7 linked regions of the Nothobranchius furzeri genome follow. The protein of the gene in region 1 binds, or shares a complex with, the protein of each later gene. Links are inferred from orthologs where the notes say so. Each region holds a gene or a part of one and is shown on either strand. Other genes may lie near its edges.

Region 1 (4,347 bases):
TTGATTGACCCCTCAATGAGAACCTTCTCCTTCTCATTCCGGCTGATCACCACAGGCTGAAGCAGCAGCTCCTTACTGCTCCTGCAAAGCAACAACAGAGCGGTTCTTAGATGTTGACTTCCAGCTAGTCTCGGCTTTCTAGCTGCATTGGGAGGACACCTTCGAATGGGCTGCAGCAAGTCAGCACAAGTCCACACTTGTGTGTCAGCTGCAGATAATCCACCGAGAGCTCAGGGGCAGGAGAAACATCAGGAAGAAAAAAGTGGATTTTGACACCACCGAGACTGCAGGTGGTTCTGTGCCAATAAACATACCTGACTTCTACCTCCGGTTTGTTGTGGCGCTCCACCACCTGAGAGGAGAAGTTCTCCAGACAGAGGGCTGCCTGCAGGGTGGACCTCACAGCGTTCAAATACGGGCGCAGAGTCGCTGTCTGAGCAGGAACAGAGATCAGGGTTAGCAACAGGAATCCTGCATGATGATGTTCTGTTGATCCAGCTCAGTGAGACCGACCTCACCTGAGCCAAAACTGAGCATCCATACATGAATTAATACATATATAACCTTATTATTTTTCACTTTGTCCGTTTTAGGGTTTCTTTAATAAAGTAGTTATCGGTCGTCTGTGCAGAAAACTGCATTAAAAGCAGGAATTAAGCTGAATCTCGGTGAGTGAGGTGCCTCCAGGTGAGAGTAGATCGCTGATCAGACCTCATAATTGTGCTAGTAATTTTACAACGTTAAAAACGTGTGTTTTCAAAGAGCCACCTGTAACACTAACGAACGAAAAAAGGCCCCAGAACACAGCTCAGCTAAATCACTTCAGTCTCCATTCCGTATGAAAGATGCCCGTTACTGAAGCCAGCCACAAACAAACGCCATCTGTGTGACTCGAACACATAGCTAGCTAGCTAAGGTCAAGTCGCAGTGAGTTGAAAGAAATCGCAAAATTATTCTATATTTTCAGAAACTCGCAAAGTGCAAGAGACTTACCATTTTTGAGCTGTGAAGAAGGAAGTTCCTCAGCCACGCCTGGTACGACTCTTCCGTAAATTCTTCATGGTAATGTAAAGCAAGAGTGCGTTTGTTCTATTCACCTTTCTGGTTGGGTTAGGCGGGCATACATTGTTTGAAAGTATAACTCCGCCCAGCAGGGAAGTGGTTTCTAAAACGAGCACTTACAGCGGTGCATCCATTTGTCTAACCAAGTGGGGGGTGAGAGTCTTTGCTTTTATGACTTTTAAAAAAAGTTACCTTGATTTTTAAAATGATGGTTGTGTTGATTTAATTCGTAAAATAAAAATACTACAATGTTCCACTACGTCGATTTAGAATTGAAAATCTACTTAAAAGGTTTTGTGCAGCTGCGCACTGATAGAACATGGTTTAATCCCACCGTGACATTTTGGTTTACATGGGGGTTGTTGTGATCAAAATTTGGCAATTTTTGTTTTGTGTGCTGTATATCTTTAAATCTAATAGTACATATTACATAACATAAACACAGTGCTTGATTAATATTTCTTTTGGTTCAGGGAAGGTGCTGTTTTATTAATATCTTTATCGACACCCCTCTTGCTACAATGGTTTGTTCCATCATGGACACTTTTTACTGACGGTAAATGCTACTACTCAATGTTTCTGGGCTCCAAACATGAAAATGTAAGGTCTTAAATTTCTCCGTGGTGTAATATCTGTATGCAGACAGTGAATATGAAAGCCACTGTTGTTAAATTCTGAGATATCAGCCCCATTTGGGCCCGGGGCGGAATGATGCATCCTTTTTTCACGTACGTGCTTTGGGTTTTTGATTAGAGACGCACCACCGAGCTCGGCCGAACACCTGTGTGTGTGTGTGTGTGTGTGTGTGTGTGTGTGTGTGTGTGTGTGTGTGTGTGTGTGAGAGAGAGAGAGACACACATACTTCTAACTAACGCGATGCTCGTGTTTGTACCAGTTTAATAGGACATTGACAGCACCACGGCATCATGAGCGAACTGAAGGACTGCCCCCCGCTGAAGTACTACGACTTCAAGCCCGTGGAGCACGTTAAGTTGTGCCCCCGTTACACCGCAGTGTTGGGACGGTCAGACGACGATGGCATCGGCATCGAAGAGCTGGACACCCTGCAGCTAGAGCTGGAGACCCTGCTGTCCTCAGCCAGCCGGCGCCTCCGAGCCCTGGAGGAGCAGAGACAGGTGGGTGTTTCAGGTTAATGAAAGAATGGACTCCAAATAAAAAATATATAAAAATATTAAAACTTTCATTCTTACCTACTTCTTCAGATCCTCACAGATTGGCAAGACAAGAAGGGAGACAAACGATTTCTAAAGCTGGGCAAAGACCCAGATCCTGCGGCCCCATCCCGCCATAAACCTAAGAAGCAAAAACTGGATGGAAAGGGAGGACATGCACCAGGCCCAGGTCCTGGCAGACCCAAATCCAAAATCCTACAGCCCAAAGTTCAAGAGTATGATTTTCCAGATGATCCACAAGACATCCCTCGCACTCCGAAGAACGATGCACCCAACAGGTTTGCAGCATCAGAACCTTTTAAGTATAGAAGAATATCTTCTGGTGCATTATTAGCTAGACTGTTCAGGGATGTGCTGTATATCCACAACAATCATCAGTTTGTTTTTGCTTTAATGTGTTTTTTTTTTAGGTTCTGGGCGTCAGTCGAGCCATATTGTGCTGATATCACAAATGAGGAGGTACGACTGCTGGAGGAGCTTCTTAAGCCTCCAGATGATGAGACTGAGTACTTCAAAGTAAGACGTAAATCACAGTCTTCTTCATTTAAGTAATAATTAACATCTTAGTTTGCGGTTGATGAAGACGCATTGTGGGAAAAGTACGCCAGCGACTCAGCTCCGTTTGTGCTAACTGTAGATTCCAGCTCTGGGGAAGCATTATTCCCAGCGATGGGCCCAAGAGGACCTGCTGGAGGAGCAGAGGGAAGGAGCACGGGCCAACGACAAGAAGAAAAGCATCATGGGAGGGCCGCTGTCAGAACTAGATGCAAAAGGTGAAGGAGGCCTGAAACGATCGTGAGCATGTGTGCTTTTGTCTTAACTGTGCTTAACTGTGACATGCAGCTGTTGCTACTATGTTTGTTTTAATACTCGTCTTTACTTTTATTTTATTTTTTACAGATGTCGACTCCCTGCTGAAAAAGTCAGAATCCCAGCATGAATCACCAGAAGATGGGTGTCCCTTCTTCCCCCTCACACAGCGGCTGCTGCAGGCTCTTGTAGAGGTCAGACTAACTCCATTCAAATCTCACTGAATTAGGATTGAGGTGCAACCATTTTTAGGTAACATCGACTTTTGTTTGTTTCTACTTCATTGTGTGGTATTGTTTTCCACTTACCCATATTCATCCGTTTTAAGATTTCATACTTTACAGCAGGCAGAGATACCTTCTGATTCCTGACAACTACTTTTAGTGTAACCAACATATGTATTTATGTGTGTTCTCTAGTGAAACAACTTGATTCATCAGCCAGCACTTGTGGTTTCTGTAACGGTCATAAGATCACAATCTGAAGTACTTTATTCAGCTTTGCTTTGCAGCGTTGCTCGCACTTTTACCTTCTTTTCAACCGTTTGTCTTTTTAGTGCATCTAAAGCCTCTTCTGCACCAAAAGCTGCAAAGCTGAGATCTGAAAGCTGTTTATTTGTATGGTTTGGAAACGTTGCACTGCGGCATACTCTTGTGCAGCCAACAGACACATAAAACATCTCTGTGCGTGCTGCTTTTGGTGTGCCAGAGGCATCGGAATAACTGTCAGAAACCTGTACACTGATTTGTTCTCTTGCATTGATCCATGCAGAGAAAAAGTGTTGGGTGTTGACACAGCACTGGTTGGTTTCTAAAGTTTAAGTTATGTTTGTGTAGATTTTGCATCAGAAACAAGAAAAGTATTCATCGCTAAATCTGGAGCCTGAAAAATGTTGCTGCAAAACCTTTCTAGAATATTTGAAGTCCAGCTCCTTTTGGGCTTATAGCGTAACAAGAGGTAGTCATAGAGGTGTATGTTTATCAGTTTGGTTTTGTTCTTTTCCAGGAGAACATTATATCCCCTATGGAGGATTCTCCAATACCAGACATATCAGGAAAGGATGCCAATGACGGTGCTGGCACTTCTCCTCGAAGCCAAGGCAAAGCATTCAGGTGCGTTGCATCGTATCCGTGCAGAAGATCAGCTCTTTGTAGAACGTTATCTACCAGGTTCAGTTTAAGGTTCGGATGTTTGTCTACAAAGCCTGTGAACTGCCTATTTCTAACATGCCCACTCCATCTCAGAGGTCTGCTGTAGGGATGGAGAGATTCACCGATATGAA
Region 2 (4,417 bases), on another chromosome or scaffold:
CCTCAGCTAAAGCAGTCCACTCATTACCGTTACAGGTCCAAGCTTCTGCCTATTAAGGCTTTTAACGAGGTATAGTTAGCTAACTGCTTCAGACAATCAACTATAAACTTCTTGGACTCTGCCAGACAAAATAAACTTGACCTCTGAGTGGTTAATCCCATTAATCTACATCAACAGCCATTAAAACTGCTAAGACCAATCAGACCTTTCCTTTAACATACAGGAAATGATTCCTGGCTTATAGGGTGTTTGAGGGGTTATGGTGCTCCGTGTTTCCAATCGCATTTAGAGGCTAACTTTAGGGAAGAACTTGGATGAAGCAAAGGCAGCTTGTGTTTCCTTTAGTTTTATATGCATCCGGCTGTACAGTGCAGCAGAAACATGGCAAAGGTGACTTCTAAGAAATAAAACACAAAGACAGGCTTAACGCTGTGGGACACCTGAGATGGATGAGAGGATAAGACATGAGAGGATCAGGATTTACTGTAGAAATCCTGGGCCTGTTTTGGAAAGGCTATATGGAACATAGACAGCTATGGTTGTATGTTATTTTCTCTTGTCATGTTGTTAAAAAATCTAAAAGTTGGGGCTGCAGCAGTCATGAAAAAAGTCCATCAAACCCTGTAGAGTCAAAAGTATCGTTGCTTTAATCTTCACTAAATGAACACGTCAAAGTTTGTTCTTTAAGATCAGCTTTTTAAAAGTGCCTTCATTTTAAAATTACAATATATATCAAGGTTGATTTTGGTGACTCAGGGGTTAAGAGGATGAGGTTAAGGTTACGAGTTCAAACCGAGGTTCCCCCAATCATGTCACGTATTGCGTCCTTGGACAAGACACTTCACCCACCTTACCTGCTGGTGGGGGTCAGAGGGGCCAGTGACACCAGTGCTATGCAGCCTCGCCTCTGTCAGTGTGCTCCAGGGCAGCCGTACATTCTAGCTCATCACCATCATTGTTTGAATGTGCGTCTGAATGGATGAAGGATTCAGTGTAGTGTAAAGTGGTTTGGAGTCCTCTGATTGTAAGGATCTACACAAGTGCAGGTCATTTATTAGTTATCGTGACTAGTTTCTGGTATTAACGTTACAGTGCTGGCGTGATTCATTTAAAGCTTGAGTTTTTGAACATATTTAAATGTTATAATGAGAAATAAAAGGCTCATATTATCTAGTGTAAATCTTCGGCATCTTCAGAAAAGCTGACTTTGAAGTTTGATGTAATGTCACAAAACCTCCACGCGAGGGCGACCGTTGTCCAGCTGACGCTGAAAGCAACCATCAGGCTGTTATAAAGATTTTTATTGTTCGGCTTTTGTCATCACTAAACGAACACCTTAAAATTCTTACATTTCTGCTTCAGGCTGGATTAACATTAGTCCCTTAAAAAAGAGATGCACATTGGCTATTTCAACATATCTTAAAATCAGATAAAAGCATGGTAAGAAATTTGAGGGTTCCCTCTTATGAAATCACATGTACTTATTTTTATATTTGTCCAATTTTTAAATACCAAAAGACGTGGTAGTTGTTTTTTTTACATTACAGCTATAATTGTTCTCAAACAAAAAAAGAATACGTTTATTTGCATTTGTCAGTCGAGAATGTTTATTTATGAAAGGTAGCAAACAATGTGACTTTCAATATTTTAACGATTTGTACAATGTTTTTTGATTATTTTTTTAAATCTGTGACGGCCTTCTTTTTGGTAACGCTTTATGGAGTGTTTAGAAAAGCTTACTCCAGCTGTGAATGTACAACTGAGCACAGTTCAAAAATAACAGCACGCGTTGTCTTCAAAGATTCCGCTAGATGGCAGTATTTCCTGATGGGTTTCATTTCAGACTCCGACTACCAAGCCATGTTTCCGGTTTATTCGTCACGCGCATCCGTGACACATTTAGGCTAATGTTGCTAAGAATAAATGCTATCCTAAAATCCCTTACTGTAAGTTTTCCGTTTGTGTAATTTGTTTGGTTCATTTGGCAATGTAAGATAAAAATAATCGGTGGTGTTAAAGCACTTCATAAAGCTAGTCTTTGTGTGAGCAGCGGTACATACATCAGAGAGCTCTTTATTGTTAGCCTAATTGTAGCCTCAGCTTTCACTTCTGTTCTGCGGGGCTAGAAAACAGCAGCCGCTTTACTAGCCTGGTTGCTAATTAGACATACATCTTATTAATATACTAGGGTTTTGTGAAGTGTTTTTGTTCAGCGTGTGTGGAAGATATCCGTGACACTTGCTTTCATTTCTAATTCCTTAAAAGTCACATCGTCAGGCGGCTCATTGTTTGCTATAACACACAAGTAGCCGTTAGCCAACCGGCTAACTTTTGAGGAAGCGTCTCATCTCTTCATGACATTAACTTTGTGTTGACGTCTGCTCAACCCGATCATTTTATTATTTGTACTCCGAAGACTCAAGAAGATAGACATTTGTTAATTCTGGTAACTTCCACACACTAAAGAAGCGGAGCTCCGTTTTTTTATTTTTATTTTAATACTAGTTGGAAGTTATTTTTGTGCCACGATGGCTTCCTCATCTGGGAACGACGACGACCTCACCATCCCCAGAGCAGCCATCAACAAAATGATTAAGGAAACTCTCCCTAACGTTCGAGTGGCCAACGACGCCAGGGAGCTCGTCGTTAACTGTTGCACGGAGTTCATCCACCTCATTTCCTCGGAAGCCAACGAAATATGCAACAAATCCGACAAAAAGACCATATCTCCTGAGCATGTCATCAACGGTGAGTCAGTCCCGACCCAGACCAGGAAGAGTATCATCCTCCCTGGTTCTAACCGCTGAAACTAACTGATTGCACTTTCACCTCCTGTTTTCGCACCGCAGCCCTCGAGAGCCTCGGTTTCGCGTCTTACATCACGGAGGTCAAAGACGTCCTGCAGGAGTGTAAAACTGTAGCTCTGAAGAGGAGGAAGGCCAGTTCTCGACTGGAGAATTTGGGTATCCCGGAAGAGGAGCTCCTCAGACAACAACAGGAACTGTTTGCAAAGGTGAAACGTCCTCATGCGTGAAGCTTGTGCTTTTTGAATGAGCATTCTTGTTTTCCCTTTTGCCAATCAGTAATCGTTGGCCTGGGATGAGCTCTGAGTGTTTATTTAGTACTTTAAACTTATCTGTATAGCTGAGAATAAACAAAACAACAAAGTTATATTCATTTTTATTAATAACACATCGTAACATTTAAGAAACGTCCTGGTGAACATCGCAAATGAACAACAAAGTGCAAAGTTACAAAAATACTGTTATTATTAGAGTGAAGCAGATGATTTAGTTCATTGCTGATGTTATTCACGTTTAGCCTTTTTAAAGATTAAAAGTCATTGTGCTGCCTTCTAGGGTTGTCACGATACTAAAATTTCAAACTCGATTCGATACTGGGAAAAAACTCGGTACTCGATTTCGATACTATTTAAAAACACCAATTTATTGAACAAGTTTATTCAAAAAATAACATTCCTCAATTTATATTGCAAAAGTTAAATGTTAAGAATTAAGTGTGTAAAGTGCTTAAACCTTTCAAGTATCAGCATTTTTTTAAACGTGCATACAAAAACTGGTGAAAGTTAACACTTTAAATCATGAATTGTCCCACTATATATACACTATTTGCAGAGTGATGTTTTGCTGCTTAAACTCTGTTTAAGGTGCATTTTTGTCATAAGATGTAATGCCATATGTTTTGTTCTGTACTTTTGAACAACTCTGTTGGTCAATAAAGGGAGAAAACTAATTTCTCCTCAGTAGGACAAAGGTACATCTACCGGTAATCTTAATAAAAACAGACCAGCGCACGGCAGTGACGTCATTAAAAGCGCCGGTTAGATTAGCCGCGGCTAGTCTGTTTACGCCTAGAAATCCCAGACCCGCTCCAAACGAACAGGGGAATCACGTTAATGATTCCTAACAAAACCTTTCGACATTGAGATGTTTTGGTGCAGATAATGTCTTATTTCGAGGCTGCACCATGGGTGCCCGTCCGCACCCGTTATACGGATATACACTGACGGCGATTCGCCGATGGATCTACGGTAAATACCCCGGGGAATCCAAGTAGCACCAAAGTTGTCAGCATGAGTAAACAAACGTACTGCATGCTAGAAATTAAGTCCGGGTTGCAATAAACGGGAGTTTCCTTTAAGCACATAAGCGTGAATATACAACTACTTGTCGGACTTGGTATGCTAATTAAGTTGGGCTGTGAAGCGCCTCCCAAATTCGCTGTTTTTGTTTATTTTTTTTGGCAGACAAAACTTGGATCGGAGACAACTCGCGTGGGAAATTGCAATGTAGCAATGCGGCGTCTTCTTCTTCTGTTTGTCTGGGAGGCGGAGGCTGCTTTACGGCATCTGGCTGTCGTGCGTGTCGGTGTACTTGAAGAAGGCTGTGTATAATAG
Region 3 (3,690 bases), on another chromosome or scaffold:
GAATGACTGATTGTGTTGCGAAGCACCTTGGAGGTTGTAGAAGTGTGTGTGTGTGTGTTGTCAAATTACTGGTCCTAGTTATTTTTCATTCTTATCTCAAGTGTGGCTTAATCTAATCAATTCACACTTTTGGACCAGAATATTGCTTATAAGTTACAACAAAGCCAGGTCACCATAAACCTTTCATTTCAATGCCTCCTTTATTGTCCTCAAACGAGTGTAGGTCGTGTTGATGTTCACTCTAGTTGTTGCTCTTTGCTCTGCCTCCAAAGCCATCATTCTCTTACTTTAATTTCCAGGCTCCGCCATGATGCCAACAAAAAAGTAAACTATTTCATCTTGCACTATTTATTGACGGCCGGTGAAACTGAAATGGCTAACAGCTAGCCTTTATATGAGCTACCAGCACAGTAGACGTTTATTGTCGTAAAGCAGGTAGTACCCCTACCGGAACCACAAAATATTTAAGAGCAGTTTCTGGTCAGCAGAGGGCTGCAGAGTGCTGTCAAAATTTTATTTATTTAAAACATAAACTATGTCAGGATTTTTTTTTTTCTGCTTTATACATGCATGAGAGGTGCAGTATTTCTGCACATTTTTTTGGTTGACAGATGTGTTTCTGTATCTTTATCCAGGCTGCTGATGGCGGGAAGTCTGCCTCCCAGCAACAGCAACTGCTGGTGTCAGCCAGCCAGGCGGCAGTAATCAGCGCAGCTAAGAACGCCGGCACAGCCAGCGGCGGCAGTCTGTCCAAGGCAGCTGTGGCCTCTTTGGTCAAAGGAGCTGGAAGCTCCGCCTCCCCAAGTAAGAGTGCAGGAAGTTCAGCCGTTGCCGCAGTGATGGTGGCAAAAGGTGTCACAAATTTGCCCGTCATGAGCACGTCCAAAGGAGCTGGAGCTGGGACTGTGGTGGGGGTGTCCAAAAGCAGCAACACTCCATTAGTTTCTGCGGCGTCGTTAGTCAGCGGAGTGGCAGCTGGAGCAGGAAAAACAAGTGCTGCACTGTCAGGTGTGGAGGAACACACCACAACCTACAATCATATGTTTATGCACAACACATGGGTGTGCAAATGATCTCACCTTGTGGTTTTTGGCCAGGTATGCTGAAGATCCAGTCTGCTGGTTCCAGCTCCCAGCAGACCGTTTTAACCATCCCTGCCACCCAGCTGAAGCAGCTAGGGGTTGGAACTGGGTCTGCTGGACTGCAATCCATATTCATGCCTGTCAGTAAAGGTAAGCCCACTCCATGAACACAGAATAATCTCGCTAGTGTTGAAGTTAAACAGAATCCCAAAACTGATCCTGGATTACTTCTTTAGTTGTTCTGAACTTGATGTAATTTTAAAATAAATCTGAGATGCGCTCCATCATCTGGAAATATCTTATTGTTACCAATATCCTCTCATCTCATTTTTTGTCTTACTGTTTACCTAGCAGGACATTGACCCTTCTGTGTGTGTGTGTGTGTGTGTGTGTGTGTGTGCGTGCGTGCGTGCGTGTGTGCGTGCGTGCGTCCGTCCGTCCGTCTGTCTGTCTGTCTGTCTGTCTAAAGGCCCAGTCTCCAATACTCCTCCCTCCTTCTCCTCTTCATCCACTCCTCCTGGAGCAGCTGGAGCCTCCTCAGGTCTTTCCAGCCAGGTCTCCTCCTCCCTTATCCCGCCTTTAGCACAAGGTGAGAGGGGTCCATTGTCACTCCACCCTCTCCTCTCTTTCTTCCTAACTCCATTTTTATGTTTGAGCTGTCAGAATCAAACATTGGCCACTGAAGACGAAGCAAATAGTTTGATAGTTGTGTTTAAAGCTGATGAACATAATCCAAACCATTAGAGTCTTATTAATGGGACATTTAGCTACTTTTTCAATCATTTTCTTGAGCCACTATGTGCTAAAATGACCCTTTACATGGTTAATGAAATGACACCCAGCCCCCATCGCCACCTGTGACCAGAGTATTCCACTTGCAACTTCAGACTGGCGGGCAGCTCTGTTGGGACTTAGACAAAAGGAGTTGACATACCTGGTGCTGCAGTCTGGTTCCAGCACATTTCCTGGATGTTTTAGATTATGAACACATCTGATTTGTGTAATTTAGTGATGAATAATAATAATAATAATAATAATGCATTGAACTTATATAGCGCTTTTCTAGACCCCCAAAGACGCTTTCACACACTCACATTCACACACTGCTAGTGATGATAAGCTACTTGTAGCCACAGCCGCCCTGGGGAGGTTTGACAGAGGCGAGGCTGCCATTTGGCGCCGTCGGCCCCTCTGACCACCACTAACACAGGCAAGTTGGGTGAAGTGTCTTGCCCAAGGACACAACAGCAGGATACCCCTGGTGGGAGCTGGAATCGAACCCATGACCCTCCGATCATGAGGCAACGCGCTCTACCACCTGAGCTACTGCTGCCCCAAATGAATGAATGACTCCTGTAGATACTAAGGAAGGCTGGGGGGAAAGCGAGGAGATAAGTTTTGCTTTCAGTTCTATAAATGGACTCTAGGGGGTGCCAAAAGCAAGCCAAGACTGCCTAGTTCCCTTTAAAATATAAATTACATGTGTTGATTTGTGATGAAATAGTTCAGAGTAATAATCTTTTATACAAGTCTAAATATGTTTGTGATTCCTAATAACATTTATCTCCCCCACATATACACATCTGCTGTCGCTCTCCGCTGCCACAGTGAAAACAGAACCAGGTGCCGTCGCAGCTGGTCCGTCGCCCCTGGCGACGGCTGCTGCTCCAGCCCCTGTCCATGTTGCTTCTGCAGCCACCACCGTCAAACAGGAACAAGGCACAGATAACTCAGCACACTGCCTCATTAAGTAAGAGCAACGCCGCTGTCTCTTTAAACACAAATGCAGATGATGTTCTGATGTTAATCCAAAGCTCTTTCCTCTCAGCACTGAGCACATCGAAACCATGATGCAGCTGCTGACGGCTGTGGTGAAGAAGTTTCCTCTAATTGTGCCAGAAAAAAGTAAATACAATTAGATTTCATATTTATAAACCGACTGAAGACACTCTTTAAATGTAACGCTGCTTTATTTTTACATAGCTGAAGACTCCCATCCCTTTTGTGCCTCCTCAGTAGAACAGTATTATTCTTGGAACATTGGCAAACGCAGAGCGTCAGAGGTAACCTTTTGATTTTGTTTTGATGAAATCTTATGTCCACCTCTCACCGTTATCTTCAGTTTTACTCGTCTTCATGCTGTACTAGCCTCGTGTTTCATCAACATAGTAAATGATTCATTGCTGTTCTTGTGGAGAAGAGAAGTATGACCGTGTTTTTACTCACTTTGATGGAGTACACGACGTGATGATTCGCCGCGGCTGCAGTTTTGCATTTTAATCCGTCTTCCAGCTGCATCTCTTCTCTCTCTAGTTGGATGTGTGTTTCTGCCACATCATCTCTTTGACTAATACTGTATTCTGAGCCGTATGTGGGATACCGTGAATATTAATGCTTATTCATGCATGTTGCTAAATAGTTTAAGCAGCGAGGGTCTACAATGCTTAAACTTTGTGATCGGACTCTTCCGAGTTAAAATGAGCTGATCTTTGGCCGTCTCTGTAGCTTCAGAGAGCGGTGGCGGTGAAGCGTCTGGTTCAGGACGTGCTGGACCGCTCGCCCCGCCTGCAGGCCCTGACGCCCCCGAAGACCAAGGAGGTGGTGCAGT
Region 4 (4,309 bases), on another chromosome or scaffold:
CACACGTTTGGGTTTCGCTGCACTAATGGGTTCATCACATTACCTCCAAGCAGCAGCTGATCTTCTTCTGCAGTTTTAGTGATTCTTCATTTTCTTTCTCAGCCTGTTGTTTCTGCTTCAGCCTTTCAGCCCACAGCTGCTCAAACCGGACCTGTAGGGGATCCCTGCTGTCTTTATTTCTCTCACGGAGCTCTGCCTCCAGCCTGTGGACCTTCAGCTTCAACTTGAAGTGCTTGAGGCGCACCTTGGTCAGCTCGTCCTGCCGAATCTGCGCTGCAACCAGGACCGACTTGACTTTGGCCCGAGCTGCTTCCTTCCCCAGGCGACGACTAAGCGCCGCCTCAGCTGCATCCTGCTTCAGAGCCACCAGTGCCTGCCAGTCCTTTTCCACCTGAAGGCACACATTTAAAATATTGTCAGAGTCAGGTTAACTTAATACAGCTCATCTAACAAATCTGTAATGTCTCTCTCTGGTCAATAAAAAATCCTACATTTCCTAGAGTTCAGGTTTTAGGTCCTGAGTGACAAAATGACCATTATGTAATTGTGTGGCGCCCAAAACAGCAAACTAACAAGCTTTTTTACACTAAAGTCAGAGACCGCAGCAGTCTGTATGAGCCGTCTTCAGACCTGGTCCATCTTCTCCTGTGCCAGCATCTCCAGCTCCTCTGCCTGCCTCTGGGCTGACTCGGAAGCAGATCTGAGCTGAAGCTTCAGGTCAGTCAGGGCTTGGAGGTGCTTCTCATACTCATGCTGCCCTGATGCTGACCACTCCTGATGAACATCCTTGTTTGCTCTCCTTTGGAAGTATCCTGCCAACTTCATTTGCAGCTGTTGGTTTAGCTGGTGGGCTTCCTCTCTCTCCTGGTTCTCCAGGAGCTGCACCAACCCTTTGTGCTCTTCTTTGTCTGCAAGTGCGGCAGGCACCTCCTCCTCGTCCTCCTCCAGTGCAGGACAGATGGGCTCCTTGTCAGGGGTCTGAAAGTTGATCCCCGAGGGTCCATCATGGTCACTCTGCAGGTGTTCATTTGTTTTGTTCATGTCCACATCGAGCTCTTTACTTGTGGTGGGACCACTGCCCTCCTCTGGCTCACAGGATGCTGCTTCTTCAACAAAGAGCCTATTTATGACTTTCCCACTGACAGAGAGTGCCTCGTGTGCTAATATTCCAGCTGAAACGTGCTCTTCTTCATCTTCATTAACATTATTAGGAGCATTATTCTTTTCTTCATTCTGTAACTCTCTACTCATTTTTAATAATAAAAAATAAAGTTAGAATGTATTAAATGGCATTTGTTTGGAGTTAAACGGCTCGCGCAGTTCTGTTGTCAATGAAACTATTCGTTTAGTTTCCGTTGTCCTGGAAACTGGGACCAGGAACCAATCACAGGAGCTCTGTGACGCTCATGAATATTAATTAGGAAGGTGGGTGTGCAGCGCGAGTAGTGAGGCACGTAGTGCGCAGGCGCGAGGTCCTGCCTTCTACAACAAGAAGCAAGAGCCAGGCAAGATGGCCGACCTGGGGAAGAAGTACTGCGTTAACTGCCTCGCGGATGTTACAAACCTACGGCTTCGCTGCACCGACTGCCCCGATATCGAGCTGTGTCCCGAGTGCTTTTCGGCAGGTGCAGAAATCGGTAATCACCGGAGATGGCATGGCTACCAGCAGGTCGACGGCGGTCTTTTCTCACTCTGGGGTCCCGAAGCAGAGGGAGGATGGACCAGCAGGGAAGAGCAGTCGCTCCTCGATGCCATCGAGCAGTATGGATTTGGAAACTGGGTACATCACTTTTATTCACAAATACTCACTAAAGTTTAGTTTTAATGTCTATAGAAAGAAAAAAAGTTTAACAAGAACCAAAAAAAGGGCCACGACGTCTGTAACTTTCAGGAGAACAACTGTCTGTATGATTTGGTACACTCACAGTAAAATACGAGCAAGATCAATAATCTGTTGTTTCTGACTTCTCATAGAGTTGGGACCAGAGCTAGCATAAACTAACTGTAAATATAAATGAAAAGCTGACTTATTACAAGATTTAGATGTTTTCAGGTGTCAGACAAGCTCAGCAGATATGAGGATGTGGAAAAGAAAACTATTCAGTAGAAATCCTAACTCACTAAAAGTGTTCTAATCTAAAAGCAGAGTTTTGTGCTGTTAAGGAAGGATGTTTCTGTTTAAATATTAATTAAATTCTATAGAACCACCTCATAAATTTTTATACTATAATTAGTTTCTTTACCATAAAAACAGGAGTTTTTAGAAGAAGAAAAAAATATCCTTTTAAATGTTTAAATGAGTTGTCTTCACGTTATCTATCAGATCTGATCCATCCTTATGTTCCCTCAAGGAACCTTCGGTCAGCACAGCAAGGACTGTTGGTCGTTCCTAGCTAGGGTTTCCTGTTAGGGGTATTCCTGCTAGGACAAGCTGGTTCCCAAAGTCAGAGACTCTCTTGGTCAGCTTGCTTCCCACACCAAACCTTCTGTCAGGAATCTTGGCGTGACCTTTGACCCAGCTCTCACCCTGGATTCTCATGTCAGTTCTCTTGTTCGCTCATCCTTCTTCCATCTCAGGAACATTGCTAAGCTGAGTCCCATTCTGTCCCGCTCTGAACTTGAGACAGTTCTCCACACCTTCATCTCCTCACGCTTAGACTACTGTAACTCTCTTTTCACGTGTCTGAGCAGAACCTCCCTGAACCGTCTACAGGTGGTTCAGAACGCCTGTGCTTGGCTTCTGACCAAGTCCTCCAAACACACCCACATCACCCCGCTTCTCCTCCAGCTTCACTGGCTGCCAGTCAACTTCAGGGTTCATTTCAAGGTCCTGGTTCTGGTCTATAGGGCCTTACATGGACAAGCACCATCTTACATTGGTGATCTTCTTAGTCCCTACACCCCCAGCAGGTCCCTGAGGTCCAGTGATCAAAGCCTACTGGTTGTGCAGCACCAGGCTAAAGGTCAAAGGTGACAGATCATTTGCTGCTGTGGCCCCCAGACTCTGGACCTCTCTCCCCCTGAGCCTGAGATCAGTGGACTCAGTGGTCTCCTTTAAAAAGCAGCTGAAGACTCACCAGTTCAAGCTGGCTTTTGTATGACCTTCTTCACCTCTCTCTCTTTATTCTGCTCTCCCCACCTATTCCACCTTCCTCAGGATCCACTGATTTCCCTCTTTCCTGTTCACTCTCCCTCTTTCTTAACTTTTTTCTTTTAAATCGCAATTGCTTATTCTTGCTCATGTTAAATATATTTTTAAACATTTTCGAAATGCTTTTTTATATTTTTACATTTTTTATATTTGTTTTTGTGAAGTGCCTCGTGATTTTTATCATGAGAGGCGCTACAGAAATGATATTTTCTTCTTCTTCCTTTCTATAGCGCCTCTCAAGATAAAAATCACGGGGCGCTTCACAAAAACAAAAAAATGTAAAAATACAAAAAAGAATTTAGAAAATGGTTAAAAATATATTCAAAATGTGCAAAAAATAGACAGTTGTGATTAAAAAAATAAAAGACCAGGGGACTCATTTATAAAGCTTGTTCCCGCTCAGAAGGGGGTCTGAAAACTGCGTAAGTTAGCCTGCAGAAAGATTTTACAGAAAGGCTTTGGACCTGGTGTAAATACATGTTGGAGATATGTTTACATGCATAAAAAACAACTTCAGCCAACATAAGGCAATTGTGTTTTACTGATGCTGCATGTAAATGCACAGAGGGATGATTGGATTTTCCTCTGTTTAATTTCCGCTGTAAATAATCTAATAATGTATAAAGCAGTGGTTCTCAATCCTTTGTTCTGGAGGGCCGGTATCCAGCATGTTTTAGTTTCATCTTACCAGCACCCTAAACTGTGTTTTTGGGTCACCAACAATCTAAAGTGTGTGTTTGGGTCACCAGCACCATAAACTGTGTGTTTAGGTCACCAGCACCATAAACTGTGTGTTTGGGTCACCAGCACCCTAAACTGTGTTTTTGGGTCACCAACACCCTAAACTGTGTGTTTGGGTCACCAACACCCTGAACTGTGTTTTTGGGTCACCAACACCCTGAACTGTGTTTTTGGGTCACCAGCACCATAAACTAAACTGTGTTTGGGTCACCAGCACCCTAAACTGTGTGTTTGGGTCACCAGCACCATAAACTGTGTGTTTGGGTCACCAACACCCTAAACTGTGTGTTTGGGTCACCAACACCATAAACTGTGTGTTTGGGTCACCAACACCCTAAACTGTGTGTTTGGGTCACCAATAGCCTAAACTGTGTGTTTGGGTCACCAACAATCTAAAGTGTGTGTTTGGGTCACCAA
Region 5 (4,367 bases), on another chromosome or scaffold:
GGACTTGGGAGACATTGAAGTCAGACTCTGAGGAGAGACACTCAAGCACGACCGGCTCTTCCTCCAGAACAGGCTCAGTTGGCCCTTTAATGGTCAAAGTTGCTGCATAAAAACAGAAATAATGAAGTTATTGATCAGTGAAAGCATGTAGATTAATAAGTTTAAACCATAGAAATACTAGATACTTTGATCACATGACCACAAACAGGTTCCATCTATTGGCGCCAAGAGTTTAAGTTTGTTGATGTTTTTATTTTTCTACTAAAACCCAGTAAACATGAGGTTATATTCTATATACTTAATTTGTTTAATTTTCTGAACTCTGAACATTTGCTGTTTATCTCTGCGTGACGTAAGCACCAGTGTTTAGAACAGATGAGACGCAAACAGGCAAGTAAACACGACTCTGTAGAATAAATCTATAACAAAAAGATAAAAAGTAAAATGAGAAAAACTAAAAGAGTAAAATCCTAAACCAAGCTTCCTTTTACATAAGAAAAAACACACAGCTTTAAAAACAGTTGATGAGAATTAGAAACATATTTACCGAAGGTGCCATGAATCAGGACCACCAGTGAAAACACCAGAAAGGTTTTCATGTCTGTGGAAAATCTTTTCACCACTAAAACTGAAGTCCTGAAGTGCTGCGCAGCTCTAAACTGAAATGAAAGTTTCCTTTGTATTAGTAGATCAGAGCGTAGGTGTGGCTTTCTGTTCTGCTTTTGTCCAGGAAGTGTGATATCAGATTATTAAGAGACTCTGAAAGATCATAGCCATTATTTTCATTTTATGCATGAAAATAAATGACGCGGAATAGGTATGGTTTTGCAACAGCGTTGCTCTAGGGATTACATTTCGGTTATTTGCTCAACTGCGCCAGACAAAGGGACGCTTCGCTCCTCCGCCAATGGTATTATGTAAACTCAGCGCGTCATTTGTATCCACGGGGGAAAGCGCTCAAGGTAGGTTTGAAAGTTCAGGGGTTTCCTGAAGAACTTGTTGTAGTTTTGCTTTTGTTTTACTATTACTTTTTATTTGTAGGGTGACATGTAATACAAAAGCCAAGCCAGCACTATGCGCTTCATCGGCTTTGATCCCTTAATTTGTTTTATTATGTTTTGGCACGAAATCTGGTCATTAACTGATTATGTGTGCACACGATATTTACAAAACAAATAAATTCAATACAAAATAAATTTGGGTTGATAAAAAGCTCATATTCTTCATTAACTTGTGGTTTAAGAGATGTTTCATTTAGCAAATTATTCCACAGAAGTGTTTTAGATTAAATTAGGGAATGTTTGGGGTTTAAAATAGAAATTCTGTTGTAATATATTTCAATTAAGTACAGTTTATTTATATTGTTTGATTGGATTATCACTATTTTATTGGAAAATTGTTCATTTATCTGTAAAATTCAGTAAATCCGTGAAGTTTTAACCCGCTTGTTTGTGTAATACTTTGAATATCCAGCAGGAGGCGACATAGGAACAACGCCTTGACACAGGAAGTATAACCAAGCTAACCGGAAATGCTGAAAAGCACTCGCTCGTTTGTTTTTATTGTATGGAGACACAATTTTGGATTATCTTTGTAACTAAAACACTTAGTCGTTTTTGTATCAAATAAATATGGACAGATAGTGTTTATTTAACGTGGTGAGTATTCGAATTCAGATAATTTTTGAGTGCAGGGTACATAACGTTCTTCCGTCAGATTAGCTGCTAACGTTAGCGTCTGTGGCTAACGTCAAAAATGGATAGCGTTTGTTTTTAGTATCTGGATTTTCTACTTTTTAAATCGCTGCTTTTTTTTTGTCACAGATGCTGAGTCGCTTGCTTGCAACCGGAGAGTTTTAGTGAATGTTACGAAATGTTCTGCTTTTTTGGTTTCTGTCTGTAATTTGTCCAGGGCTAACTCGTTGTTTGACTGCTAATCTAATCAGTCTATGGCGAATTGAAGCTACAGCGAGCTCACAAACACTTTTATTCCACTTCATATTATTTTATGTCAGTATTAGGTTACCTTACATACTTTCAAGCACATATTTTTCAACAGCTGTGCAATGGTCATTGTAACAATCATTAATGGGTAGCAAGTCAGTGGATCAACATTCATCACGAATAGCAGCAATTAAAAACAAATATCTGTGCTGGAAATAAAAAACTGTTATTAATTTGATTTATTGAGAGGAATTATGTCATGGAAATTTCCTTTTAAAATCTGTCACTCTGGTAAAACTTGTGATCAAGCTAACTTCACTTGGGACTGCTGTTTATTTTCTGATTCTTCACCTTAGATTAAAGGCCGTGTTCCTCGTACGAAGGTGATCTATTCTACCTGTGCCCAAGTTGGACGGTCACCCAGGACTGTTGCTTTCTCTGAAGGACTTCCACATTTTGGGCACCTCAGAAACCAGTGGATCCCAGTACGCTTGCCTGTGTTTACCAGCATGGCTAACAACACCCCGATAATAGTGAAGGGTCTGCCCTCGGGTCCTGCAGGTAGAAGCAGCCCAGAGGGCTCTCAGGTTTGTTCCTCCTCTTTGCTGTCTTTGTCTAATGTCATTTTGAATAAAGTGTTTATCTCTAAATAAAAAAACAAGAATTCTATTCTAACACACATTTCTGTGAAAATTTTCTCCAGGTGCTCAGTAAGAAGAAGCTTCAGGACCTGGTGAGAGAAATCGACCCAAATGAGCAGCTGGATGAGGATGTTGAGGAGGTTTGTTAGTGGTGTTCAACTTAAATTTCCACTTTCATACCCAAATCTGCTTCAAAATACACGACTTAAACATAAATAAAGCATTTTTTCTCATTTAAAAATAGTTTAGAAGTCTGATTTCAAGAAATAATGGGGCAATTGATAATAATTATCCTTTTCGAGGTTGAATAGTGTCGCTTGAGTTCTATAAATGTTTTTGAAGGCATCAGAAATGTTTCTCTTCTCAGATGCTGCTTCAAATTGCGGATGACTTCATAGAAAGTGTGGTGACAGCTGCCTGCCAACTAGCACGCCATCGCAAATCCAACACATTAGAAGTTAAAGATGTTCAGCTACACCTCGGTAGGTTTCGGGTAACTTAATTGTAAAATTCTAAAATGAGTACAATTTTGGGACTTTTGCACAAGGAAATCAAACCTAGAACATAATAGCATTACTTTCAAATATTCTTTCTAATGAAATATCGTGAGGTCTGAGGTGACATATTGTCTTCATGTAATCATTTCATGCTTTCAGAGCGCCAGTGGAACATGTGGATACCTGGTTACGGGTCAGATGAAATCAGACCGTTCAAGAAAGCATGCACCACAGAGGCTCATAAACAGGTAAATATGAAAAAAAGTTGGTTTCTGTTAGAATCAATAGTGTCTAAATATTCCTTTCAATATCGTACGTGAGTCTGCACACGTAAAAAAAACCTGACTGAGATCATCTCTTATTTTCTGTTTCAGAGAATGGCGCTGATCCGCAAGACGACCAAAAAGTAGCATCAGACTCTGTTGTTCTGAATGTTTTTTTGGTAATAGACAATGTACGTGGTTTTGACGAGGGGTGTATATCTTTTGAAATAAATCGTTTTTGTCACGTCTCTTGAGACATTTGCGTGCTTTGCCAGAGCACGATAGTATTTGTGTGTTTTACTCTGACGTGTTACCGCTGCGCTACGACCGGCTGAACCTCATTGTACTCTGTTAAAAATATTGTTTGTAACGTCATCGTCTAATGTGGTTAGATTTTTGACACTCTTGATCATGGAGATGATAACCATACTGACTGTGTTTACCCTGCTTGACTTTGTTTTTCCCTTTTCTTTCTCTAAATCAAAAATAGAAAGATATGGTATTTAATTGAATTTTACATTGTCAGAAATAAAGTAATAATACCACGATACAAGTTATGCTTTGGAGTTTGCATTCTCCATGCTTTGACTTGAGTGTCATTCATTTGAAAAGCAAAGAAAATGGATGTTTTATGTGAGTGTAGTTGAGGGTTTCACGAGTAAAAATGTCTCGGTGTCAGGCAATCCCAGCACATTTAAAACTGCATCTAGATGAACGATGAAGTGGTTCAGAGGCTGAGCCGATATATCAACAAATGTGATGGATTCACTAAACACGAGGATGATTTAGGCTGTGGAATAAAATAAAGCAACAGCTGTTAAGTTGTTTTCTTTTGGTGGATGAAGGGTTTATTAGAGGGATCACAATGGCTGCAGGAGCAGTGCATGAAAACAAGTCAGTCACTTGTAGAGTGATGTGCAGTTATTGTTACAGCAAAGCATTTTATTTGTAACTACTGGCCCAAGACTGGATCACATTAGGGAAGGCTTCTAATCAAAACGGACCTTTCGTACCGTCGCTGCT
Region 6 (4,216 bases), on another chromosome or scaffold:
GTGTGACGCATCACTTGTCTCTCTTCTCTCACCTGACGGCAGTTTCAGGTGAGTCTCCATGTTCTGAAGTCGCTCCTCTATGGCTGCATTTCCACAGTCTCTTGCAGCTGCCCCCCTATGATGCTCTGCAGCCTCTCCCTGGCGCCCCCCGCCACGAGTCTGGGGCCCGTAAGTGTTTACCACTCGTGAAACTGATCAACCAAAGAATAATCACAGACTCGGATGAACCAACCAAATTTTAAATGATGCACATTACAGAAATCACACAGCATCCATGATGCTTGTTACCAAATTGTTAACAAAAATAATTTAGCTAGTGATGATGAGTGTATTTTTGAACGTAAGAGCAACAAAGAGTCCCCTTTTCTTACCTTTAATGTGGCTTTTAAAGCCTGGGTAAGGAGTGAACACGGCGTCCGTCCTGGCACAGCTGTTTTCTACAAAGGAATCAAATCCAAAACAAAAGTGTAATTAGACTTTCTAAATGTAAGAAGAAAATAGTCATAAAAAAAAACATTAGAAATGAATACACCACACTTGAACTGCAACTTCGTCTGATTTCCATTACTGGCGTCACACACAAGCTTTGAATTTCAAACAGCCTGTGTGTCTGGTGTTTTTCTGGCCAGAGCAGGTTGCGTTTCAAGGCCGAGTGTGTTAGCTACTTCAGGCCCACTCTTGGAGCAGTTCAGCCTGACCTCTCGCCTGTGGAAATCAGCTCTCTCCCAAACATTGGCAATCTGTGTGCAGCCTCCCTCTCCACCCTGCCCCCCAATCTCTCCTCCGTTCTCACCCTGATTGCAGTCGATCACGTTGCAAAACTCGCGCACATTGTTTTCATTGATCTCCATCTGCTTGCATTCCATAAATGCAGATATTCTTCGCTCGATCTGGAGTTACAGAGAAGACAGATAATAAGACACAACGGGTTGATGAGCCACTGATAGCTGTGAAGAATTCAATGTTTTGTCGACTTATTTTTACTGATTTAGAGTAAACAAAGTTCAGCGATTTATGGTTTCAAAAAATATCAAACACAGTGAGAGAAATTATTCCAGATAGCCCAAACAGTTGAATAGATTATCGTCATCATGTGATGGAATAAGAATACGGTTTGCCTGGCTACCAAAATAAATGCACAACAGAATGGGGCCTCTTGTCCTTCATCCACATGCAATCTCAGAGTAATGAGCATCCACTTCATAATCCATCAAGGACCTGGCCCTCTCTCAAACCCCTCCAGCAATGTGGTCCATTCTACCCCACCACAGCACTACAGAACCCTTTATTCTCTGTCAAACCCAGTATCAGAACTCCATCAAGCATTTGCTGCACATCATGTGCACATCCTTGGAACCAATTACTTATGATTATTCATTTGCTTGACAGAGTGTGAAGGGCTCTAAAATATCAGTGCCAGAACAGCTGACAGATCTGTTGACAATGACCAACCTCTGACTTCCCGGCTCGGATCTGAACCATGACGTCATCGCCCGAAGACCCGCAGTCTGCAGCCTCTGAGCTGTGACGCCGGTGCTCGGATGATAGTGACGTGACAATGTTATCCGCCGTGTCTTCCTTCACAGATGTAACATCAGCTTCCACCAGTGACCTCAGGCTTTCTGAAACAGCCTACAGCCAAACAGAAAGAACACTGACTGCTACAAACACATTATAAATTAGTGTTATTATTTCTTTAATTACAACACTAGTGACCATCAATTATACTGTAAATGTGGCACTTATTAGATATTGCAGTCATATGTAACATAAATTAACCAACGGGTGAATGTCTTACCTGCAACTTAGCAATGTGCTGCTGTACACAGCCATAAACACCTGCTTCTGAAGATGACGAAAGTACTACAGCTCCAGGGTTGACCTCTATTCTCAAAGCAGCATCCCCTAATTTCAGCTTTGAGAGAAAATAAACAAGAGTTTCATCAAGTACACATCACCACAGCTAAATAAAAAATATATAGTTCAAAATAGTAGAGGCAGAAAATGCTAAATAATTTAAGTAATTTAACCAACAATTTGGTAATTAAAAAAGAAGCAATTTTTCATAATTTGCTTCTATAAACGGTCAAATTAAATAATCTTATTGTTTTACACTGAACCTTTCTGCTGTGCTAGAAAAACTAAACCATTATTTAGCAAAAAAAAACAGTGTATATAAGACTGAATACATATATTTAATGTCCCTTTAGAAGCCCTGGGTATGAAAAGAGCTAAAGCATCCAGCAATTTTAATAATTTAGACGTAAACACGGGGGGAAATAGAGCAAGGTTAAATATATTTTCTAAGGTAGAAATGCGTTGTGGACAGTGGCATCAATAAACGTTTACCTGCAGGACCAAAAATTACATAATACTGCGTAAAAATGCCAAAAACCGTGAACGTTTACTATATGGAAAAAGAGGGTAAATGAAAATAAGCGTGATTTGAACCTAAACTGACGTGTGACACAAAAGTCTGGACATGTTTTTATTGCACAGAAATACAAATATTAAAACTGAATCTGTTAATTTAGATATAAACCATCGAGCTGACGCTTTCCTACGGCAAAAACTTGATTAACGGACAGTGAATGAACATGAACCGACGAGGCTAGTTGCTAAAAACATTAGCACACCGCTAGGAAACTACTCAGACTGGAATGACTATTCGGAGCGAAGCAGCTGAATCATTTCACACCAACCTCTTTCCCAAAGTCTGAAAGCAGCCCCAGTATTGCGTCCATGCAGTGTTTGTAACTGGACATTTTAGCTGGTTCGCTGGGAGGAGCTTTGCTCTCACTTAGCTTCGTTGTCTCCGCCATTGCTACTCAAACTCATGGAATACTGCGTGCTCATTGGTTGCGAGACGGTGATTTTAATCACGTGGTTGGTGGAACTGCAGGCTAAAATGACGCATGCGCATTAACAGTAGCGCATGAAAGTAAATTCAAAGCACAAAAATAAATGATTTACTGTGTTTTGCTCAGAATTTTGATCTTTAAATAGATTCTGAAACATTAAAAAACCTGTATAGTTTTTTTTGTTTGATCCTAAAGAGGGCTCATCATAGGTAGAAAGATGCTTTTGTTTTTGTTTGTGGAGATTTAATTTCTAGAAGGCTCATTCAGAAAGCAAAAGTCAACTTTTACTAATTTAAACTATTTAATAAACTAGTACAGATGCTTAAAATTGTGAAATATGTTTCAGTATAACAAAAAAGTAAACAATAGTTTAAAAAACAGCAGAGAAAAATAAACAGAAAATGTTTTAACTTTTGAAATGGACATATTATTTAGGTTCAGTATATTTGTTTGCCTTTTCTCAGAGGATGCTCATAAGGTCATGTCTTATTTGTATAAAGCATATAAAATAAGTTTTATTCTTAAAAAACTACTAATGTTTTTATTGTGCTGATTTTTGAGGTGCTTTATGACTTAAACTCTTTTTTAAATCTTGGTTTAAATGGACTTGTCTACATTTTTACAATACTGACTGACATGTCCAAGCCACATTTGCCTACGTTTTCATTCACCTGCTTCTCAAACAGCACAAAGAATGGCTCCTTATTATAAGCACACTGTGCTTCTTACTGCAGAGGACCAAGCAGCAGGGCATTGGGATGGGAACCTGCCCACAATGGTGTATTTCTCTGAGTTGAGTGACTGTGGGAAAATCTCCCTTCTCTATTCAGACATTTTTCACTTCTTTTCATATAATGAAGAGAGAGACTGATGAAGGAAACAACAGAAAAAGAACAATTACAGGCAAAGAGACGGCACAACCATGCACTCAGAACTCAATAATGCTCTTTAGAAAGGTTAATCATTTTAGGAAGGGCTCTGAAGATAAGCCTTTTTAGCTTAATTCATTTGTAGGGTGATATTTTTTCCCGTGAAACAGGAAGAGAACTGTAACACTTGACATGGTTTGACATGCTGAGCAGTTGCTAAATGTTCCCACACAGCGAGGAGCTCTGAAATTAAATACACTGCTCATTTAATTTGCCTGGCTGCAGACCCAAGAGCTGTAATTTTTTTTACCCTTTTAATGAGCTGTATATGTGATTTAAGGTACTTCTTGGAAAATACTTAGAGCATTTTGGTTGAATTTAACTTTTGAAGCCAAATTGCAGATGCTCATTAGCTAAGGGTCTGACTTGATCTTTCACTATCTTGTTAGTTGAAAAATCATAAAGAACAGAAGAGGTAATACTTAC
Region 7 (4,155 bases), on another chromosome or scaffold:
GGGTCTGAAAAGCTGCTAGAAATAGCGTCAAAGTCGCTAAGTTGGCAACACTGTGGAGGAGCGCTTCATTTGCAACTCAGGGCAGCGCAAGCGGGAGGAGCAAATAATCGGCTTGCTTTGTTTTTTATAATTGTTCAAAACTCAGATTGTAATCGTGATTAAAATTCGATTAATTGAGCAGCCCTAGTGAATAGTTACTGAGTTAAGGTTTTACCTCCGTAGGTATAATAGGTGTTTAACAACCTGTGTAACTGCACCAGAGTGAAGGAAATGTCATTACACCATATTTATTTTTCTGTCTAATGGAGGGACAACCCCAGCTCGCCCCTCCACCACCCTGCACCTTCACACGCAGTCGTCAGGTTGTCCACATTAGCTTTCCCTACAGAGACCCTGTGCTTACTTGGGAAAGTGTGTGAGGATGAGTGTGCGTTTCTCTGGCAGCAGTTTGTCTTTCTCCACCCGGAACTTCTCCAGGAGCTGGCGCCGAGTAACCGTGAAAATGGATTTGAGTAAGTTTCGACCAAACACCTGAGTGGTTTCATTGCGTGGCAGGCTGTCGTTACTCTGTGGGACGTGGCAGTAGCACAACCACCTGATGGTCACACACACACACACAATAGATCCACACTGCTGTTACGTCAGACCAATAAACACAAACACTACATGTGCGCTCTCCGTTAACACACACCTGGTATAGTCCACTTTGTAAGCGGTTGCCTCATCTTTCTGGGTACGCTGACGATACTGCGTCGGCGTCTCTAACTTCCAGTAATTCAGGCATAACAGAAACATCTTCGACAGCTCGAACATGGTCTGCCTCTCCTTTGGTGCCAGGTGGCTGAACTTGTACTGGACAAAATTCAAAACGCCCTGCAGAAGAGGAACACGAGGTGGATGTTGAATAAAACTCTCAGGTCATCTTTATCAAATGTAAAATCTGCAGCTGATTAACACTCTTTGGGGAACCAATGACACCAATTTAAAATCTATAACTGGTGAAAGCCAGTGGTCAGTGTGCATTCTTTATAGGATTGCTCGGGCCTGGGGCGTTTTCTAAAGAGTTCACCTGCTCAATGTTGGGCTTTTCAAAGGGCGGGCTTCCGAGGGACCCCTCTACAACCGGCTGGCTCATCTGTAGGATGCATTTCCTCAGGAGCTTAAAAAGGAGGAAAGAAGTAAAAGACCGAACTACACCAACATCCCGAGGGTCGCCTTCTCCCTGGTTGGTCCATTAGGACCTTTCATTGGGGTGAGGCACCCACCTTGAAGAGGTAGAAGTACACTTGTTTGGTATCGGTGTCCTCCTCCTTGTGCACGGACATGAAAAGGTTCTCCACATCCACGACCATTCCCAACAGCCGGTTGATCTCATCTTCAGACACGTTCTCCAGATGGGACACGTGATCAGCTGGAAAGTTCGCATCAAAGAATAAAAACAGAGATGAGAACACTATCAGTTTCATTTTTAATCAGATAACTTCGTCCACAATTTTTATAAAGTGTTTTTTCTTAATCAGCGTAGATATTCTCTAAACATCATGACTCATTTGAACATATGAAATTAAAAAATCATTTTGAGTTAATTGGGGGTGAAAGTTATTGTTGCAAAAAGCAAACCGCATCCATGTCTTCAAACGTATGCAAAGGTTTTTTAATCTGTTTGAGAATTACTGGGTCTTAAAGACCAATATTCTTTAAGAAGTCGAGGTAATGTTCACATAAACCATAAATGTATTTTTTTTTTCATGAACAAATGAGCATTTATTACAATGCAAGCAAAACATTCTCAGAGTTACCATGAGGATCAATTTGGTGTGCCACCCCAAAATGTTCTCTGTCCCCATGGCCACCCCATGACAATTTCTGAAGGTGCCACTGATCATTAGTACAATAGACTGAGACAGCTTTGTGAGGGGCTGGTGACCAAACTGAAGACATGTTAACACTCTCCTCAGATGCTGGTTAGTTTAAGAGTGGATGATAATCAGTTTAGATGTGGATGCTGGTTAATTTATATGTAGAAACTGGTTAGTTTAGGTTTGGATGCTAGTTAGTTTGTATTTAGAAACTGGTTAGTTTAGGTGTGGATGCTGGTTAGTTTAGGTTTGGCCATTGGTTAGTTTGCATGTAGAAACGGGTTAGTTTATGTGCGGAGGGTTAGTTAGTACCCAAAGCATGTCCACAGCTGCGGCAAGACTCGCTCAGACTGGCTGTTTGCTGCTGCAGATCCATACGAGGAGCTGAGGGTGGATTTGGGTTTTTCCATCCATTACACTTGCATGTGTCACTAGCCTGAGAACAGGACAAACAAACCATACAGGCGCGTTAATAACTGAAAATATTTCCCGCAAAGTAATTATGTATTATGCAGAACTGGACATTAACAGATACGTTGTCTGCAAAGAGTAAACCCCACGTTTATTTATTGTATTGTTGATGAAGTTTTAAATAACGTAAAGGTAATCAAACCAGAAGCGTGCTTTGTTGTTGTGAACTTCGGCTAGCTGAGTTAGCTACCTTGCATGCGGAGAATACGCCAAGTTTCTCGAGCTTTTTCGCCCGTGGGAAAGCTCGGACCTGGGCTTTCTTCTGGCTGGCGCGCTGTTGCTGGCTCAGTCCTGGTCTGGCCGGGTCGCTGTTCCCCGGTCCGGAACCCGTCGCAGCAGCACCAGACCCCGCAGTCCCGGTAGACTGGGTTTGGAGAAGCCGGGGTTGTAAGGCCTGCGCCGCCGGGTCCGACATATCCACGCTGCTGCAACAAACACTTCCTTCCTCTCCGTTCCCGTTTACCTCATATGCTGCGTTCAAGTGCCGTCTGAAAAAGTGGATTTAGGTCCACTAGCTTCACAGTAACGTTAGCACCGGATGTGATATTTCCAGAAGTATTATGTAAAATATTTGTCACACACACACACACACACACACACACACACATATATATATAAATATGTGTGTGTATATTTATATATATACACACACACACGTATCTATATACACATATATATATGTATGTGTATATATATAATTATATATATATGTATATATACATATATGTATACATATACTTATATATATATAATATATATATATAAGTATATGTATACATATATGTATATATACATATATATATAATTATATATATGTATATATACATATACTTATATATATATATATATATACATATATGTATACATATACTTTTATATATATATATATATATGTATGAATGTATATATAATATCTATGCCGACTCAGAGTGCTGCGCGATTACGTCATAAACAAAGTTCTATTGTCAGGGTCTGGCACGTTCGAAGTCATTCACTTTGGGATTTCCAAGAGACAGCCCATTTTTCTGACCGTCCACAGTGTTGTTATATTGTTTTATTGAATTATTTCAATAACCATCTGTTGAAAATGAGCAGTGAGGAATACAAACAGCACTCCAAACGATTCCTGTTCAGGGAGGTAATCCTCCCCAGAGTTGTAACAAGGGTGAAACTAACCCACCCAAATACACCAAGTTACGGCTCAAAAATAAGCAGAATTTCGAAACTCAGTTGCTTGAGGGCAAAGTTTCTGACTATTTGAACAGCGCCTTTCAACATCAAAACTAGCCAACTGAAAAAGGAGCTGCAGGAGTTAAAAGATAAGGAGAAAACCCTTCAATCTCAGTTCCGTGAGTCAAATAAGAAACTCAGCGAAATGGTGGAGAAACTATTTTTGTATTTAGTAATCAGTTTGAAACTCCAAATGATTCATGCACCAAAAGACTGATTGGGAATCGTGCCTATTATAGGATATATATTACTAGAATGTATCAAACATAATTTTGAGCATGAAAAAAAGCTTTAAAATTGGTGTTACATTTGTAATTACTTTTCCAAACATTTGCAAACAACTTTATATTAAAATACACAGCTCATTTTAAATTTAGAAAATATTTTAACAGGGTTAATGAGTTTATTCAACCATGACTTATCCTTGATTGGATCTAATACCCTATTTGGGTAAACCGTAATAATTATGTTGATTATAGGTTTTAACTTATTCAAAAACTGTAGTTTTCTTTTTAAAGAAATCAGACAAGACTTCTCAAATGTTGTCAAATCAAATGCAAAGGGTTAACACTTAAATGAGATGACATTATATAAA

Evidence for each region.
Region 2: tada3l (region 1) and dr1 share a complex: the UniProt entries of both Homo sapiens proteins name them as parts of the ADA2A-containing complex. The link is inferred for Nothobranchius furzeri from reciprocal best matches to the Homo sapiens genes TADA3 and DR1.
Region 3: tada3l (region 1) and yeats2 share a complex: the UniProt entries of both Homo sapiens proteins name them as parts of the ADA2A-containing complex. The link is inferred for Nothobranchius furzeri from reciprocal best matches to the Homo sapiens genes TADA3 and YEATS2.
Region 4: tada3l (region 1) and tada2b share a complex: the UniProt entries of both Homo sapiens proteins name them as parts of the TFTC-HAT complex. The link is inferred for Nothobranchius furzeri from reciprocal best matches to the Homo sapiens genes TADA3 and TADA2B.
Region 5: tada3l (region 1) and taf12 share a complex: the UniProt entries of both Homo sapiens proteins name them as parts of the STAGA transcription coactivator-HAT complex. The link is inferred for Nothobranchius furzeri from reciprocal best matches to the Homo sapiens genes TADA3 and TAF12.
Region 6: tada3l (region 1) and mbip share a complex: the UniProt entries of both Homo sapiens proteins name them as parts of the ADA2A-containing complex. The link is inferred for Nothobranchius furzeri from reciprocal best matches to the Homo sapiens genes TADA3 and MBIP.
Region 7: tada3l (region 1) and kat2a share a complex: the UniProt entries of both Homo sapiens proteins name them as parts of the STAGA transcription coactivator-HAT complex. The link is inferred for Nothobranchius furzeri from reciprocal best matches to the Homo sapiens genes TADA3 and KAT2A.

Annotation. Positions count from the first base shown.
Region 1 is NC_091743.1:74,426,835-74,431,181, reverse strand, and holds the start of tada3l (transcriptional adapter 3), read left to right. Parts: upstream 1-1,416; 5' UTR 1,417-1,618; exon of another isoform or gene 1,619-1,662; intron 1,663-1,957; 5' UTR 1,958-1,988; coding exon 1,989-2,198; intron 2,199-2,285; coding exon 2,286-2,533; intron 2,534-2,665; coding exon 2,666-2,771; intron 2,772-2,892; coding exon 2,893-3,028; intron 3,029-3,155; coding exon 3,156-3,259; intron 3,260-4,070; coding exon 4,071-4,177; intron 4,178-4,347. Other genes in the region: actin-related protein 2/3 complex subunit 4, read right to left, coding at 1-81, 315-433, 994-996. UniProt on the Homo sapiens protein: Functions as a component of the PCAF complex. The PCAF complex is capable of efficiently acetylating histones in a nucleosomal context. The PCAF complex could be considered as the human version of the yeast SAGA complex.
Region 2 is NC_091756.1:58,164,526-58,168,942, reverse strand, and holds the start of dr1 (protein Dr1), read left to right. Parts: upstream 1-1,471; 5' UTR 1,472-2,528; coding exon 2,529-2,748; intron 2,749-2,849; coding exon 2,850-3,013; intron 3,014-4,417. UniProt on the Homo sapiens protein: The association of the DR1/DRAP1 heterodimer with TBP results in a functional repression of both activated and basal transcription of class II genes.
Region 3 is NC_091751.1:55,945,828-55,949,517, forward strand, and holds part of yeats2 (YEATS domain-containing protein 2), read left to right. Parts: intron 1-635; coding exon 636-1,008; intron 1,009-1,097; coding exon 1,098-1,232; intron 1,233-1,551; coding exon 1,552-1,671; intron 1,672-2,690; coding exon 2,691-2,832; intron 2,833-2,910; coding exon 2,911-2,987; intron 2,988-3,065; coding exon 3,066-3,145; intron 3,146-3,587; coding exon 3,588-3,690. UniProt on the Homo sapiens protein: Chromatin reader component of the ATAC complex, a complex with histone acetyltransferase activity on histones H3 and H4. YEATS2 specifically recognizes and binds histone H3 crotonylated at 'Lys-27' (H3K27cr).
Region 4 is NC_091754.1:63,115,861-63,120,169, reverse strand, and holds the start of tada2b (transcriptional adapter 2-beta), read left to right. Parts: upstream 1-1,375; 5' UTR 1,376-1,510; coding exon 1,511-1,780; intron 1,781-4,309. Other genes in the region: cfap184 (cilia- and flagella-associated protein 184), read right to left, coding at 44-391, 631-1,251. UniProt on the Homo sapiens protein: Coactivates PAX5-dependent transcription together with either SMARCA4 or GCN5L2.
Region 5 is NC_091745.1:72,393,464-72,397,830, reverse strand, and holds taf12 (transcription initiation factor TFIID subunit 12), read left to right. Parts: upstream 1-1,482; 5' UTR 1,483-1,658; intron 1,659-2,299; 5' UTR 2,300-2,452; coding exon 2,453-2,530; intron 2,531-2,646; coding exon 2,647-2,724; intron 2,725-2,951; coding exon 2,952-3,066; intron 3,067-3,240; coding exon 3,241-3,329; intron 3,330-3,455; coding exon 3,456-3,491; 3' UTR 3,492-3,897; downstream 3,898-4,367. Other genes in the region: si:ch211-79k12.1 (roundabout homolog 1), read right to left, coding at 1-102, 548-599. UniProt on the Homo sapiens protein: The TFIID basal transcription factor complex plays a major role in the initiation of RNA polymerase II (Pol II)-dependent transcription.
Region 6 is NC_091758.1:21,136,616-21,140,831, forward strand, and holds the start of mbip (MAP3K12-binding inhibitory protein 1), read right to left. Parts: upstream 2,862-4,216; 5' UTR 2,823-2,861; coding exon 2,703-2,822; intron 1,916-2,702; coding exon 1,799-1,915; intron 1,633-1,798; coding exon 1,453-1,632; intron 891-1,452; coding exon 794-890; intron 438-793; coding exon 372-437; intron 192-371; coding exon 33-191; intron 1-32. UniProt on the Homo sapiens protein: Inhibits the MAP3K12 activity to induce the activation of the JNK/SAPK pathway. Component of the ATAC complex, a complex with histone acetyltransferase activity on histones H3 and H4.
Region 7 is NC_091745.1:16,620,399-16,624,553, forward strand, and holds the start of kat2a (histone acetyltransferase KAT2A), read right to left. Parts: upstream 2,821-4,155; 5' UTR 2,746-2,820; coding exon 2,521-2,745; intron 2,296-2,520; coding exon 2,172-2,295; intron 1,412-2,171; coding exon 1,266-1,411; intron 1,160-1,265; coding exon 1,070-1,159; intron 874-1,069; coding exon 692-873; intron 596-691; coding exon 404-595; intron 1-403. UniProt on the Homo sapiens protein: Protein lysine acyltransferase that can act as a acetyltransferase, glutaryltransferase, succinyltransferase or malonyltransferase, depending on the context.